3 linked regions of the Drosophila melanogaster genome follow. The protein of the gene in region 2 interacts with the protein of the main gene of each other region in a pairwise test. Each region holds a gene or a part of one and is shown on either strand. Other genes may lie near its edges.

Region 1 (5,796 bases), on a different chromosome or scaffold from region 2:
ATTTGTTGTTGGTTGCGGCATTGTGGATTTCCAAGATTTTGGAACTGTGCTTGGCAACGACGGAGAGCAAGAGTTCGCTCTCTGGTCTTGAAAGGGCTTGAGCGTTTCCGTAGAAACGAACGAGAAATACGCGTTGTTTTTGATTGAAGAGAGCCGACGCTCGTCTATTTCACGTTGACGTTGATCACGAATTTCGTTTTGCATTTTAATTTCACAGATTTTGTGATTACGATTAATTATAAATTTACTTATCATACTTTTTTAAGACACATTGTAAATAAGAAGAGAGAGAAAAAAAATATATATATATAAAGTATACATGTATTTGATCAGAATCAATAGCCGAGTAGCATACAGATTCTAAACGCAGCGCAAGTCTGTTCACCCATATGGCCACGCCCACTTTTCCGCCCGCTAACCACAGAAAACTGACACTCACACACCTTAGAACCATTTTTCAAAATTGTTTCATCATTTTATTAGTCTTGTAAATTTCTATAGAATTTTTGCCATGCCCACTCTTACTCCCTAAAACCGTCCAAAACTGCCGCGAAGCGGTCACGCCCACACTTTAAGAAATTTTTTTTTTAATTTTTTCTCATTTTATTTCCCAATATCTATTGATATCCCAGAAAAAAATGTTCTCGTTCCCATTTACACTAGCTGTCAGCTAGTAGCTGAGAAATGCTTTTGCATGTTCCGATGCGCACTTCTGAAAGCGTTAGCTTAGAAGTCGGCAATTCATGAAAGAGCGATGATATTTCCTCGCCTTGATTAAAAACATCAATCTTAATCGCTTAGAATTTTTAGGAGAGAGATCACCGTCATGAGAGTCGGCTGTGCAGCCGAAACAATTAGGCTCTGCGACGATTTTGTGATGTTCTTCAAGGGTGATGAATTGTGGATCTGTATGGTACATTCGATGTACAAGTTATCCAACCCATAAACATAGCACCCTTCCACAGTTTATAAACAAATTTCAATTCTCAATCTCGTCGGCATTTCCTTTGTCTTTGTTTTTGTCATTGCCTTTGCCAGCGCTTAGCTACTCGCTAAAGTAAATAACCCAAACTTAACGTAAACACAGCTTCCGCTTGGAGACCAAACCACGGCCAACTTATTACGCTTCAATCAAAAACTGCATCGATCAGCATAATTGAATTTCACAATGCAGTGGAATAATTTCAGCATAAAGCTTTTATCAAAAGTTCAGAAAGTGTCAAAGAAAAGCTTCTGGCCGAGGTTGATTGGATTAGGATTCAGAATTTGAAGATCAGTCTGATTCGGGAGGATTAAAAGAACGGTTTATTAGTGTATAAATAGATAACAATAAGTGTCTTGTAATAAAGTGATAAGTTGAAAAGTTTAACACCAATAAAAATACTAAAAAATAAAAAATTATTTTTTAAAATAATTTATACCGCAAAAAGTTAATTTACATATGTGAGGTTTGAGGCCAAAATTTTTTTCGGCTGCTTTTCATGGCGGGCCCCTGTGGTTGGCTAACTCTTTAGCGTGGAACTCTGAGGTGCTTAAAAATACCGTTTTTTCATTTTCACGGTACTGCACATAGAATTTTGTTTGTTTTCGTGCCTGCCTTCGTCCAGCGTTCCGCCTTTTATACACTCGTTGAAAGTATCCAAGCCAAAATCCCGCCATTCTGGTCTCGATCAGTACTTTCCACGGATACAGACGATTTTCCGATTATTATCGCTACATTTTGTTGCCCAATAAATGATCCTGGCAACTTTTTAATATACACTTACTGGTACGAGCGTCCAAGAATAATCCTGATCTATAATTCTTAATTTATCAGATCGGACACGTTTACTTTTTTTTCGCATATCGATAGAAATTTACAAAACTAACGGAAAAATATACAAATATCAAAACATTTTTTTAATATATTAGCCTGGCAGTCTTAAGCAGTTTGTGAATGCTTCTGGATCTGCATGCTTAATCTCAACCTTATAGCTTTAATAGTTCCTGAGCTTTCGACGTTCATGCGGACGGACATGGCCAATTCAACTCGGCTATTAATCGGATCAAGAATATATATACTTTATGTGATCAGAAACCGTTCCTTCGGGTTGTTACCTATTTTTTAACGAATCCAGTGTACCCTTTTAGTCTACGAGTAGCGGGTTTAGAAATGGAGCAGATGGTATCCTTGTCAAGGAAGTTTGCGGTACAATTTAATGAGATCCAACGCCTATGGTTTAACTTCTGGCGAATGATTGATCTTTAATAAATTTATATCTAATGTATACAGACTTTAAAACTTCGATTTAACTATCGACCCCTGCGGTGTTGATTTCGTGTTTTAAATGTTTTTGTATTTGTTTTAATACACTTGCTATACATCTACATCAAAAAATTCAAATAGAATTGTCAAATTCAAAACGACTGAATAAATTTCACCAGTGTGAATAGAAATAAAGAAGTGGTTTTCATGAAGAGGGTTATGTTTATCATTTTCATCAATATGGCTAAATTGGATAAATAACATATATTCTTAAAAAAAATTTTGAATAACTATTTAAAAGTCAAACTCAGTACATTTTGAACATGACTAATTCGAGACGATATGACCAGCCGTTAAGCATTAAGAGACTTTCACACTCCGAAAATTCTCCTTCAATGCGATAAAAATTCGGAATTAAAAAATATAGCATCAATGGTATAAAAACAAAAAAAAATAAATAAATTCTTTTAATGCAATGTTTATTTCTTAGCACTGGATCAAGAACTTTTGCTACAGAACTTATTGTTAATGTTAACTTATTGTTACGTATCAAGAAGTTGTGAATTGCGCATTAGGGAGCACTTGTGGAAATAACTTATTATAACTATGGTCGAGAACTTTGATATACATTTTGTATCTATTTTAAAATAGAAATACGTTCACACCTTTTCTAAATATTTAATTTTGTACTTCTTGCCTAGTGCCCCATAACAATTCTATATTTTGTTATTTGTATCAGCTTGAATTGTGTGTGAAGAAACATAAATTTTATCAATGACAAAAAAATATGTTGACAATTTAGCTCTTTAGTTTAGCTATTGCTTAACCAAATAATTCCTGCGGCTACCACTCGGCATCAACATGGCTTCCAAATCTGCGTACGAAAAAACTTTGGTAGTAAACATTGCCAATTTTGAAAAAATTCAGAACTTTTTAAATGACAAGGAAAAGTACAAGGAGATTCTAGAAAACAGCGAGAATTTCAACACTCGTCTATGCATTGAACGTCGACTTCGCATGCCATTCCTCGATCCCCAGACAGGTGTCGCACAGACACATTGCTCCCTCTTTATGAAAAAAAAACAGCGAATGCCAGGTCTTCGACATGGTCAGATATACACTTATCCATCGTCTCGGTGGCGCAAACCAAAACGTCAGTACTTACTTAACCCGAATCAAAGTTTCCGAGCCTATCAGTATCGCGAGCACAACCTTCAGCACTCCCACCATCAAACGCATCAGCATCACCATCATATACCTTCGTCTGGCGTTGCTGTACCACAAAATCCTCACTTAGCTGAAAGCGCAGGTAAAAAATTGCAGCTTATCGTCGGATGAAAGTCAATATTTTATACATCTGACATTTATATTTATTATGGGTTTTTATTTACAGCCATTGCTGCTACGGATGGCAACTCCATGGGAGCATCAGGAGATAATGATAGTAAGGACTCACATGCAAACGTCGAAAAAGAATGGTTCCACGATGAAATGGACACATCACATTTTCATCATGGCGATGAATTTGAGGATGACTTTGATTCAGATAACGATTTTGATGAGTCTTACACCAGCCGGGGCAAACGCAAAAAGTGTTCGCGTCCTAGACGAACAAATGCAAACGTAGAGGGTACTCCCAAACGGGGACGTAAAGGTGGTGGTGAGTACAAGTTTATTAAGCTGATGAATTGTAAACGTTATTGATACCCTAGGCAATCGTCGAAAGAACGCCGTTGAGGGAGAATCTGATCGAAAACGTAGAGCCGGTGGAAATAGTGCAAATACATCCGCAGCCGCAGCGGCAGCTGCCGCCGCTGTCGCACATGCAGCATGTACTGCAGCTGCTGTCGCTAGCACTGGGCTCTATGCATCTCATTCCAACTCAGCTTCGCCTATTCCCATAAATGACGACAATTCACAGTCAGGACTCATACTGCCAACAAACATATCGTCGTCGTACGATAAGACTTCAAGCGATGCTGGAGCTTCCAATGACTCAATTCCCCTAGCAACAATGGTTGCCATAAACGCGGGCCTGACAACCTCAAATGTTTGCAATGCGCATCCGGTGCAAACAGGAACAAATCAAACGGTGTTTGCTACTGGTAATAAGGTCAAACAACGTGTAGAACGTGACATAGCGCAACCATCACCTTATTGTGACTTTTGTCTGGGAGATCAACGAGAAAATAAAAAAACCAATATGCCCGAAGAGCTAGTATCGTGCTCGGACTGTGGTCGTTCCGGTCATCCATCGTGTCTGCAGTTCACGGCAAATATGATTATATCGGTAAAACGTTATCGTTGGCAATGCATTGAATGCAAGTACTGCTCCATCTGTGGGACCTCTGATAATGACGATCAACTTTTATTTTGTGACGATTGTGACCGGGGATACCATATGTACTGCCTGTCACCACCGCTTGTGACTCCACCAGAGGGTTCTTGGAGCTGCAAGCTATGCATGGAGGAGTTCCACAAGATTAAATAAGCTAATAAGCTACATTAATAATTCACCAATTATAAGTTAATCTTCTCATAAATATAAAAAACGTACATTTTACTTGGTTTGTTGAATTTTTTGGTCTTCTATTTTTCTTTTTATGCGCCTGTATGGGTTTTATCAGTTTTGGTTTAAGTAACCTAATTAATTTTTACACAGGTAAAGACACTTGACTAGCAACATATATCGAGAGTTCAATTGATAAAAATTATATATATATTATTGTGTAGTTTGGCGAAATTAAAGTCTGCTAATTTAATCCTCGCTATTTTTATTTTTTATTATATTTTATAAATGTTTCTTCTGTGTGCTTTTTGAATTACAAAGTGGCCAAATTAAAAGGAAATATAACCGTATAACGATTAGATTCGTTGAAAAGTATGTAACAGGCAGAAGAACGCGTTTCCGAATGTATAAGGTATATATATATGTTCTTGATCAGGATCATAGCGAATCGATCATGAACTATAAAAGCGCAAGTTTGTTGACCCATATTTTATTGTTTGTCTTGTTAATTTCTGTAGGTATTCCAAAAAACACTTTGGCCACGCCCTTCCTTTAACCATCAAAACGCCCGAAAACGTTGATTTAGAGCTTATAGATTTTTTATTTTTAAGGAACCGAAAAATAGGTGTAATGTGTAAAGAAATAAGTTGGTGAAAGATAAGAGAATCTGTAGCTCGTAGCTACAAATAGTATATTCAGAAAAGGATAGTTTCAGCATAAAGAAAGGATTAGAAATTTGCTAGCTAAACACTGGCCTAATTGAGCTCGCCGAATGCCTTAATCATATATATTTTTGACAGTGAAACGTTTTATCGGAGTGGGAAACTCACTTGATTTATTTATTACTATTATTACTTTATAATGCCCAAAAGGCATATATATATAAAGGTCTACCAGTCTATAAATTCTGTCAGTATATTTTTATACCTGACATATCTGACCATATAAGGTATATATATATACTTGATCAGGGTCAATAGCCGAGTCGATCTAGCCATGTCCGTCTGCCCGCATGAACGTCGAGAGCTCAGGAACTATTAAA
Region 2 (6,213 bases):
GTTGAGCACTCCGGCCACGCCCACTCCGACATTGGGATTGTGTGGAAGGCCAAGGCAATTGCCGCCTCCATTCCCGGACTGAACGGGCAGGGTGTCGAGGGAGTCCGTTAAGCGCTGGCTCGAGTAGATGTCGCTGTGGTTGGAAAACATACATTTAAGATATATATACCATAATACCAATTAATAAGACCTCAAACTATAATTCTGAATTCAAGATTAAAATTCTTTTAAAGTAAGATTTCCAAGTTAAATGGTTTATAAATTTTATTTAGTGCAAAATAGTTACATCTTAAGATGTTACTCACCTAAAGGCACTGCTGGCCCCGAAAAAACTGCTGCGATCCTGCAGCGCCGCCTTGGCCTTCTCCACACTCTGCTTCAGCTGCTCGAAGGTGGACTGATGGAAGCGGTACGAGGTCCATTCTGGCGAGCACTGTCCGAGTGCAAGGCACTCCTCCGTTTTCACCTGGGCGAGAGTCGGTGGCGATACCCTCTTCAGGTCCAGCGCCGTCTGATACGAACAGGAGTTCTCGTACATGGCGCACGCCTGGGGAGCCTCGATGGGTGGCTGTTGGCTAAACAAGGGATTCCACTTGACTCTGCCGGAGAAAGTAATAGATAGAACAAATTGGTTTTATAGTACTTATAAAACTGCGAAAATTACAAACGAAAATGAATATAAATGAATACTTAGTACTTATAAGTTACTAAAACTTAAGATATTTATTCATACACTCTTGTACTCTATTGGTAGTCAAACCAGAAGATTTAATTGCTTTAAAGTCCAAGTAAACTCCATCACTCACCTCATGGCAAATTGCAGAGCGAGATATTAATAAATCATAGCGCGTGGTCCACAATTAAATACTGCAATTTTAGAATGCCTCTCGGGCCAAACAATCGCTCTAATTGCCATGGCCCCAACACGTTAAGCTAGCTACCCGAAAACCCCCCCGATGTTCTGGCATAATTAATAGTGGCTACTTTGGAGCTGTGGAGCTAGTGTTCCCTTAGATATAAGCACGACGTGCATAATTATCTGGCTCGTTATTTATTGTGTGTACAGTCCCGCTTTTTGCACTGGGCCAACGTTGCGTATGAGCGTTGAACTGTGCGTGGGTGGCGGCCATTTGAGCGTGGCTCTCTAATGTCCAGCTGGTCGAAGCTGGGGAAGGCGAACCATTGTTTACTGGCCCTTTTCGGCCAGTCTGCAGTTAGCACACACAGGGGGCATGCAAATTTTTGCACTCTGCCCTCGTCGGAAGTTGCTGAATTTTGATTTATGCCAACGAAATTTATGCCATACAAAGTGCGACTTGTCCTGTCTCTGGCTTAAAGTACACCAAACATACCCGAAATGAAAACTGTAACTGAAACCCCAGCAGCTTTAAGTTTGCCGGGAGGAGTAAATAGATTTCGTTATCGAAACGGTCGCATCTACAGAACATCATCAACTTTGCGCCTTGTCAGACATTATAAACGGCCTGCACACGCCTCATTTATTATTTATTATTTGTACTCAGGCCGAGTGGCTGCGTTTGCATGTAGGCAAATTTCACCAGCGAACATTAGCAGGCAGACATTTTATTTTTTTTGTATTCTGGTATCCTTGTATTCCCCAAGTTATCACAATCGCTGAGCGAACGCGCGCACACCGGAAATACGAGCGGGATGCCAGGATGTCGGTCTGCAGATGGGCTGAATGCTCGTCCCGTTCTGCAGCGCGTGCTGAGTCCTTTGAATACCACTTGGTATCGCTGTGATTGCCGAGTTTATGCTCTTCGACAGCTGTTAATGGTGTAATCCCCTTGTTGGACGAGAGATCCTTTAATTAAGAGGCCACACGTTTGGCTGCTCTTTAATGGTTTGTAAGATTTTTATGCGATTTTAGGAAATTAGGATTTTTGAATGTTTGCACAGCCGACTGGTTGATGAAACTGTGCTGCTGTTTAATTGTCAAGCTTTTACCCAATGATGCTGCTGATGTGCTTTTTTTCTGGTTTATGAATACTTCCGTTTTAAGTCTACTAATTCGATTAGCAGAAACATATGCTTCACAATTATCTGATGATGGTGGGGTGAGCTTTTTAGGGGTTGGATAACTGTCGTTAGTTAGAAATTAAAAGCAACCATCTAAGTTCACAGGTGCTGTATCTAAGCGCTCAAAATTCTATGTAAGTGGATTTAATTTATCAGATCAGAATGTTTGAATAGAAAGTATCATAGTTTACAAATATCTTAGAAATTCGAAATAAATTCTATCAAAATATTAAAGTTTATTATTGTAATTATTCTTTACTGACATTGGTTATAAATTTTTAGATTTAAAATAGACTTCAACATGTCTGGTATTCTGAATTCGTACATTTCAAATATTTTTATGCATTTAATATTTTCCCCATTTTATGCTGGAGATTTTCCCCATTTAAGCCTAGGAGTATGTTTTCAATTTTTGAATAAAATTCTACCGTTACGATATTATCTTTAATTTACTTCAACTTTGGTTCAACAAAGCACTTAAAAATACATTAGTTATTTAGGACCCCGTCGGAGTTCTGAATCATGTTGATCATTCTATAATTCGAACATAACTCACCTCAGGATTGTGCCTGTATGTGCAATAAAGTTTATCCAAAAATAAGTCTCCTCTTTGACTGTCTCTTAAACTTCCGTCGGGACAACTTAAGTTACAACTTAGTAATCTTAAACACTTCACAATCGTTGGGAATCGGTGCAGTTAATCACTCACTCAAGTGCGTACAAATTGCCAACCGGAAATGAAATTATTGTCAAAATGGCGACGGATATGCGACAAGTGAACGCGACAGCGACGCGCCACGCAAATGACGGTTTTGTTTGCAGCCAAAGTTTCGTAGTCCTGGAGCGGATATGCAAGGAAATTTGTCACTGCAAGGACGATGACGGCGACGACCACCAAGCCAACTGGACACCGACGGCAGCGGGCTCCTTGGGCATTTCTCGATGTCTTTTCGCACAGGTGCAGGTGCACAAAAGGTGGGTGGTGGTGGGTGGCGAGGGGTGAGAGGTTCGCAACGAAAGCGGAACGAAAATGAAATCAAAAAGCGAAATTTCTATAATTTCCGCACAAAAATTTCCGCGACACACTGGCAGGACACATGTGTGTGTCCTTGTCTGTTTCTTTTTCGTGCGCTGCCACGCCCACAGCCAGCAACAAGCTGGGCGTATGTGTCCAAGTTTTCCGCACTGCTTGCCGTGTGTAAGTGTACAAGTGTGTGCCGTGTGTGTGCTTTGTGTTTTTTGTGGTTTTTGTGCCTTCGTTTGCCGCTTGTGCTGACCAAGAAAGGTTCGCTAGTTTGGTCCTTGTCCCGGGAATATTGACGACGTGTGACCGACGAATCTAAACCGCAAAGTACCGCTATTATGTCGTCCGCGACGTGTTGCACTTGGTAGCGCGCACTCCAAGTTAATGTGGCGGCCAGATCATCCCGTCCAGTCACCAGTCCACGCTCAAAGATGGCGACACACTCCTCCCACAAGCGGTGGCTCTGTGTGGCAGGGGAACTGGGCGCTATCACCGAGGATGTGTCACCCCATCGTCCTGCGTTTCTGCGGCGGCTAATGCGCAGGCGCGCTCTCCGCACCACAACCCCATCCACCGCCCACTTTGCCGCTGCTCTGTTATCTGCCGCTGTCATCGGCTGCTGGTGGGCGGAGCCAACTCTGTGCCATCGGGGATGTGGATGTGGATGTGGCTATGGCTGTGGATGCTCCTGCCTTTCGCCGGGTCCTTTGCTCCGCGTTCTTGGGGCATCATTAGTGCTGCCGAAGAGAGAAGACCCCATTTTGGGCGGAAGTGCGTATGAGCAATATTTTAACAATGGCGTTTAAAACAGTTAAAGAGCGTGTGCTGGTGTGCGAGGCCATTAGGACCTTAGTTTTGCGGTGGCTTTAAGGCCCGCAGATAAGCCTCGCATAATAACATTTTAATTTCGAGCAGCAGTGGCCACAAAAGACCCGCCAAGATACCCAGATGCTCCTGCTGCCTGCCAAAAAGGATATAATTAACATGCCAGCTGCTGCAGAGCACACACACATGTGCTAAATGACGTCTAGATAAGCGGTGAGCCTGGTGACATGATTTAAGGTCCTGCGATGGATGGGGCAGGATAATTTGCGATAAGCGGCATTCGGGGTGATTAATTTGCCAGCCCAAGTTGTGGAATGTCTTCGAAATGTCTTCAGCTCTCAATTTAAACTAATGAGCTCATGTACAGCATGTATTTAATATTTAAGATTGGTTTTAGGCAACGAGAAGATGTCTTTGCAACAATGTCGTAATTTGAAAATAACTTACTCCCATATAAAAAGAAAAACAGGTTTCTTAAAACAACAACCTGAATTATATATTTTTAAGTTTAAAATCCTTTCCAGGATAATGAAATTTAACGGTTAAGTGAGCTTACCAAAGCAGCTTAACTTTAAAGCTTGTAGAGCTTTTAGTAAATTAACAAACCCAAATGGCTTCGAATAAATCCTTAAGGTTCTTTCCCAAATAAAACAAAGCAAATACAAAAATCTTCAATCTTTTAATTAAACAAAACACACAAATGTACACTTATCACAATAAGTTTTGCTGTCTATAACTCGTATGACATAAGTAGTCCCAATTATAAAAAAGTCTGCTCAGTTGCGCTTGATCAATTAGCCAGTGATAAAATAAGTTACAAAAACTCATTCAGCAGGTAGAATAGAATGAATGTCTTGGAAATGCGGATGGAATTTTAGAAACATGTTGCGAAGTCTTTGAAAAGTATCTTTGCGCCTTAGATGCGACTTTTGGAGCTCGATTTTACTTCAAATAGTTTGCGCACAAAGAATACCTGCAAATATTAGGTTATTAATTTAGGAAAAGCAAAAAACATGTCTATACTCGCCTGTACAGAGCACGTGATCAATATGACCACAATTTGGCTAATCGAGAAGGTTTGAATATAGGCATTGTTGTCCAGGAGCAACGCATAATCACGCGATTCGCGATGACGACTGTGGGCTTGATAGCCCATCATATCGTTGATGTTGCGCTCCACAGTGCCAACGGTGGCCTAAAGAAATAGATCAATGTGAATATTTGTAAATGGATGTTTGGGTGTGTCTGAAAACCAGTTTGGCTTACAGTGAAGTTTTGCATGTTCAGCTGCAGCTGCTCGATCTCCTTGGCGTACTTGTCCCATGCATCGTACTTCACCACCGTGATATAGATGTTGACCAGCTTGCCAGCGAATCGGGAGAACTGGTTGTCAATGCAGACGGAGTAGTAGCCACCGGGCGATACCTGATCCGTGTAGTCCGCAGTAGCCTGCCACTGGTAGGGCTTCACCACTTCACCAGCAGGATTGCGGACGGCGAAACCAGCCATTCCATCGCCTCCGCGCACCACCTAAAAAAAATTTATATGAATAATTTCATTGTATTAGATAGATTATATTACTGTATTAATGGATTCGATTTGATTTATTTTAGAATATCACAGACTGCTCAAGGGGAAACCCATCCATTGGATCGGAAACATGCTATTGATCCCAAATTCTATCAACTTACACTAAAGGACACGTAGAAGGTGGCTCCTGCCTTAACGTACTGATGGTAGCAGTCCTCCTTACCAGCATCTATGTGAACCTGAAAGAGAAACCACGTTCCCGGTGAAATTTGATGCTCTAGAGGAGTCTTAAAATCAGCACACACCTTATAGTCCATGGCCACCGCTGGCAGATTCTCGTACCATGGTTGTTGGGCCTCCTGAGCGCTGGTTACGTCGATCAAAAGACAACAACAAATCAGAGCAATCGGAAGTACTAGATTTATCTGATCTCTCTGCCACGTCAATTGCATTTTGGGATTTATACTCGTCGGATTAGTGGTGCCTGGGTGGGGATGAACTCAGGGGGATCTAATCTGCCGTTTCCTCTGAGCTCTCTGTCAACAAAAAGGGTTAACTGCACCGGTTAGCTAGCTTTCTATTTGCCAAACTACCCATAAAGTTAAATAAACGAATTCAATAAACAACCGACCTGTTGCTTAGAGGTGGACTATTTGCTGTGTGGTATTTCTAGAGCAGGGCTGCCAGATCTTTGCAACTGCCACCACTGTGTAGCAAAGATGGGCATTTAAACATATATATAAAAAAATGTATATTGTATTCAAGTATGTTAATAAAATTGTTCTATTTAAAAG
Region 3 (5,666 bases), on a different chromosome or scaffold from region 2:
CACACCAGCTACATGTCGTGCTGCATCTATCCGAATTCCGATCAGCAAATCCTCACGGGCAGTGGCGATTCCACATGCGCTTTGTGGGACGTGGAATCGGGCCAGCTACTGCAAAGCTTCCACGGACATTCCGGCGATGTAATGGCCATCGATTTGGCTCCCAACGAAACGGGCAACACCTTTGTCTCGGGCAGTTGCGATCGCATGGCCTTCATCTGGGACATGCGCTCTGGTCATGTCGTTCAGTCCTTCGAGGGTCATCAATCGGATGTGAATAGCGTTAAGTTCCATCCTTGCGGAGATGCCATAGCCACTGGATCGGATGACAGCAGCTGCCGGCTGTACGATATGCGAGCGGATCGCGAGGTGGCCGTGTTCGCCAAGGAGAGCATCATCTTTGGCGTCAATTCGGTGGACTTTTCGGTCAGTGGAAGATTACTGTTTGCTGGCTACAACGATTACACCGTCAACTTGTGGGACACGCTGAAATCGGAAAGGGTCTGCCTGCTGTACGGGCACGAGAACAAGGTGTCCTGCGTCCAGGTCTCGCCCGATGGCACCGCTCTATCCACCGGCAGTTGGGACTACACCATACGGGTGTGGGCCTAAGCCATGTGGCACCTTATTGTTGGGGGATGCATTTGTCCAGGACAGATGCCGTCTCGCTTTGTTTTCCCTCTCTTCTGATTTGTTTTTTTTTTTTTTTTTTGTGTTGTGCATCGCATCTCTAGGATAGTTAAGTTACGGATTCGGTGATCCCCCAAGTGTGTACATATGTCTCATGTCGGGATTGCCAGCATGGATGTCTTGGTTACCGCAGTGTTATGCTTACTACCAGCTGCTGTACCAAATTGAATCTAAATATATACATGTATATGCATCCAAGTGTAACCAATATGCGACTAGTTATAAGTTCCTGTTCGAAATAAATGTTGAGCTATAGACAAACTGGCTTCTTTGTGCGCCCATTTGAAAGTCCATGTTGGAGTAACGTGTATCAGAACATTTATTGTACATACGTGGTTTGTCCTAGTCGGAAGCAAGGTCTTGGCTTAAAACTAGCTAAACTAACAGATATAACAGCTTACACACGACTTCTACTGATATGTAGGTACTAATTTTTGAGACACAGAAATGGAAGGCTTCATCACTTAAATTAAAAAAGAACATTTGCGGCCTTAGATTGGAAAATGTCTAATACTATTTACAGATATATATATATATGTGAAAAGTTGGAACGAAAGAGTCGGGTGTCCATAAACATTGATAAGCTATCTATAAAATCTAGAACAGTGAACATTGTTTGTGGTGTATCTTGAATATCTTGAGTTATATGGAAATAGAGCTTAAGGCGACAGGAGGTTTCCACTCAGTTCGGTCAGTAGGTGAAAAGCATCTCGATGGGTTCCGCCTCGGCACCCTCCGTCGCATTTACGGACGCCTGGAGCTTGTGCGCTCGCATATGAGCGGATAGACCTGCCGCCTGGGCATAGGCATTACCGCAGATCTTGCACTTGAACTTCTTGATGCCCAAATGCAGATGCTTGTGGTGATAGAGCGCCTTCGGGCGGGAGAAGGCCGAATCACATTTGTCGCACTTGTAGGGCTTCTCGGTGGAATGCATGGCCTGGTGCTCGTTGAGCAGCGACTTGGAGGCAAAGCGGCGGGCACAGGTCTGGCACTGGAAGGGTTTCTCGCCCGTATGCGTGCGCCGGTGGACGATCAACGCCTCCCGGTAGCGGGATCTATAGCCGCACAGCTCGCACACGTAGTTCCGCTCCTCGCTGTGGACCCGCCGATGCGAGGTGAGGTTGTGCTGGTTGACAAACGACTTGCCGCAGTTCTCGTGCTCACACTTGAATGTCCTGGCGCCGGAGTGACCCTGCACATGGCGAAGAAGGGATCGCGAGCTTTTGAACACCTTGTCGCATAGCTGGCAGGCGAACTCCGTGTGCTCCTTGCGACGATGCTGGGCCAATGCTCGGTCCACATCGAAGGTGGCTTTGCAGTCGACGCACTTGAAGGCCTGCGGAAACGGATGGCTCATCTTTAGGTGGGTGTTTAGGTATTTCTGCGTCGTGTACCTCCTGTCGCAGTGTGGGCAGTTGTAGTCCTTTGGTTGGCGCTGCTTCTGCAGGGAAAAAACATATTCAGATATTGGATTTCCTTCTTCAAGTGCACGTACTACAGTTTTTCTACCTTAAAAACAGACTGGTGCTCCTCCCCGTCCTCATCCGGTTGATAGTCTTGCGGATTTTCCACGCCCAACAGAGCCTCCAGAGCGCACCCCTCGTTGACGGATGCGGAGGAACTGTCATGATCCGGCTGCCACATCGTATCGATGGTCTCCTCGTCCACGGACTGTTTACCCCCGAGCACCATGATGCGTAGTGGATTGCCCTCGTCCTGTTCCAGTCCCAGCTCCTGTTCCGCGTCCTCCTCCTCCGACAGAACATCCTCGTTGGGCAGGTACTCTTTCTTGAAGCTGTCCACAGCCAATGGTTCTGCGCTGACCCCTTGGAACTCCTGTTCCTCTCGTGCTAGTCTGCCCAGTCCCGTGACCGTCTTGGTGAGCGGTCGGCCCTGCTTGTCGAAGTGCACATTACGGATATGGCGGGCGAAGTCCTCGAATCCAAAGTGCTTCATGTCGCAGAGCAGGCAGACCAGTTGGAATCTATTCGCCTCCGGTTCGTAGAAGATCTCGCCGCATTTGGGACGCAACTGCTGCTGGGCGTGCAGGCGGACGTAGTCGACGTTGGCGAGGCAGTGTCTCAACATTTTCTGATTCTTATTTACATTAAAATTGTTGCAATATTATTTACCAAAATTAAAATAAAATATGTAAACAAAATTTCGATCGACTTCGATAGACATTTAGTGCAGACTCAAACCAGCACTGATTTCACAGCCATTCAGCTATGTTTCAAACCAAACTAACCGTTTGACCGAATAAACTACAAAATAAATTTTAAGTTCAAAATTAATTATATTTGATCTATGTATATTAAATAGCTAAGCAATATGCTCCTCTCAAGTGTTACCAATTTGTTACCAGACTCTTAGAAAGTGATACTGCCTGTTTTATTTATAAGGCACTTCAGTTGAAATAACGAATCGGTTACCCGGTTTTTTTAAATTTGAATATGACACAAAAATAAAATGTTAATTACTCCACTGAATTTTATGCAGTGTTAAACTCGCGCCGATGAAAAACACTTGAAACCACTCTTTTGATCTGCAGATCCTTCAGATCCGTGGTTTCGGTGGCTCGCTGGTTCCTCTGGCGGTGAATCCGCTTGTGTTGGGCGTAGCCCGCCGCCTGAGCGAACGACTTGTCGCACTGGGAGCACTTGAAGCGCTTCCCATCCTCGTGGAGCGTCCGGTGATGGTACAGGGCCCGCGAACTGGAGAAACCCACGTTGCAGTCGGTGCAAATGTGCCGCTGGCGTCGCTCGCCGGCGTCCAAGTGCCGCTCCAAGTGGCTTTTCAGCTGATAGCTGGCCGGGAAACGCGCCTGGCATTGCTGGCAACTGAAGGGCATTTCGCCGGTGTGTCGCCGACGATGGATCTGCAGATTCCAATAGATGCGCGTCCGATAGCCGCAGAACTCGCACATAAGTCGCCGATTATCGGAGCTGGCAGCTGGACGTTCCGCCGACATGGTCGGTCCGCGTGTGCCAAATCTAATCGTCGGCACTATTGTTAGACGCACCCCATCCAATACCATCTTGGCATTTGGCCGCTTTAGCAGCAGTCGACCGATTAATTGCTGTCAAAGGTACCAAATCGCTTGGCTAATTTTAAACGCGGGCTCTCTTTTGCGAATCAAATTCATGTTATGTATATTTATCAATACAAAAAAGTTAACCATTCGAATACTAGCCACATCCGGTTGCCGAGATTACGGCGTTCGATTTGGTTCTTGGAAGCATTGTGTGCTTAATGTATAGTTTAAACCTTAACAAAGTTTAGTTATTATTTGAGTTGGTAGTTTAGAAAATTCATGGAAATGTAGTTTAGTCTTAGTACTTACAATCGAGCCAATTAAATTTGCCTCAAACTAAGTTCACTCGAAACAGATTAACAAACTTTCAGTTTATCTAAAACTAGGGATATTATTTACAGTGCGTGTCAAATAAATTCGATGGAAACCCGTGAAACGAGGACCGAAGAGTCACATGATACCCGCTCCATGCCGGAGCAATGCAAAAAACCATTGATTTCTATGGTAATCCTATATATAGCCTATGCCTGAGTTCCTGAACTTAAACGTCGGAATTGGAAGATACAAAACGTACAACTTAGACTACGACCTCGGTGATCCGGATCCTATCCGTTGAGCTCGTCGTTCCGGTGCTTGCGCATATGTCCAGCGAGACCGGCGGCCTGGGCATAGGCATTCCCGCACAGCTTGCACACGAACTGCTTGGTGTCCGCGTGCAGGAACTTGTGGTGGTAGAGGCCTTTCTGTCGGGAGAAGGTCGCACCGCAAACGCTGCACACATGCGGTCGCTCCGTGGAATGCATGGCCATGTGCTCTCGCAGGCCGGAATGGGAGGGGAATCTTTTGTCGCACACTTGACACCCGAACGGCCGTTCGCCCGTGTGGCTCCTGATGTGGACGCGCAGCGTCTCCTTGTTCCGGCAGCTGTAGCCGCAGCTCTCGCAGACGAAGTTCTTTTGCTCCGTGTGCACCTTGCCGTGATTGCGCATATGACGGATGGTGAAGAAGCGCTTGCCGCAGCCGGGATGCGGGCAGGGCACGTTCCGTTCGCTGGTGTGCTTGAGCTGGTGGCGTTTCAGTTCGTGTCGCGTCTTGTAGCGCCGCCCGCAAACCACACAGGCAGCGCCGCCATGCGCCTGCACCATGTGCTCGTCCAGCAGGCGCAGGCGCGGCAATTGGGCCTCGCATTCCAGGCAGGTGAAGATGGCGGAGCCTCCTTCCTCGCCGTTGTCATGATCCCGCTTTAAATGCTGACGCAGACTGTATTTGCCATGGTAGATCTTGCCGCAGTGCTCGCACTTGTACTCCTGGGCAGCGGACTTGACGGGCGCATCCTTGGGCGGCTCGTAGTCCGCGTCCTCGCTGTCCACATCCGGCGAGAGAGTGTCTTTGTGCTGGCGCATTATGTGGCGTTCGAGGACCTTGCGGCTCTGGTAAACTTTTGTGCAGTGCGGACACGAGTGCGGAATCTTGGCAGAGTGCCTGCCTTCGCTGTCCAGATCCAGCTCCATGCCGCACTCCTCCTGCTCGGAGTCTTCCTCCTTGTAGTCCACCTTGAGGGCTCGGACTTGACGTAGAGATTCGCTGGTCAGCGACTGATGGTCCTGCCACTTGATTATGCTTCTGCCTGGCCGCTCATCTTCGTCCTCATCCTGCTTTTCCAGGACAACGCGCTCATCGTCGCTGTCCTCGTTGTGATCGCCACCAATCTCGTACCAGGCAAATGGATTCACCTGCGCCACAATGGGCACCGGCGAGTTAGGCTCCCGCTCACGATCCCGCTCCTGCTTGAGATTCGCACCGGCGTCCGTTGCCTCCGTCTTCAGCAGGCCGTTCTCGAAGTGAATGTTCTGGACGTGGAGCAGGAAGTCTCCGAACACAAAGCTCTTCATCTCGCAGAACGCACAGTCGATGCGGAAGCTGTGCAGGCTCTGGAAGTAGA

What was found.
Region 1: the proteins of Ets65A (region 2) and d4 interact in a two-hybrid assay, tested with the Drosophila melanogaster proteins (one large-scale study listed by BioGRID).
Region 3: the proteins of Ets65A (region 2) and CG10959 interact in a two-hybrid assay, tested with the Drosophila melanogaster proteins (one large-scale study listed by BioGRID).

The regions. Positions count from the first base shown.
Region 1 is NT_033778.4:5,291,159-5,296,954, forward strand, and holds d4 (d4), read left to right. Parts: upstream 1-2,904; 5' UTR 2,905-3,106; coding exon 3,107-3,554; intron 3,555-3,638; coding exon 3,639-3,905; intron 3,906-3,957; coding exon 3,958-4,736; 3' UTR 4,737-4,807; downstream 4,808-5,796.
Region 2 is NT_037436.4:6,094,855-6,101,067, reverse strand, and holds the start of Ets65A (Ets at 65A), read right to left. Parts: upstream 3,452-6,213; 5' UTR 2,597-3,451; intron 600-2,596; 5' UTR 539-599; coding exon 306-538; intron 134-305; coding exon 1-133. Other genes in the region: loj (logjam), read right to left, coding at 4,806-4,862, 4,917-5,084, 5,156-5,419, 5,581-5,658, 5,725-5,871.
Region 3 is NC_004354.4:8,146,010-8,151,675, reverse strand, and holds CG10959 (uncharacterized protein), read right to left. Parts: upstream 2,894-5,666; 5' UTR 2,779-2,893; coding exon 2,200-2,778; intron 2,132-2,199; coding exon 1,379-2,131; 3' UTR 990-1,378; downstream 1-989. Other genes in the region: Gbeta5 (G protein beta subunit 5), read left to right, coding at 1-609; CG15336 (uncharacterized protein), read right to left, coding at 3,182-3,661; CG2129 (uncharacterized protein), read right to left, coding at 4,330-5,666.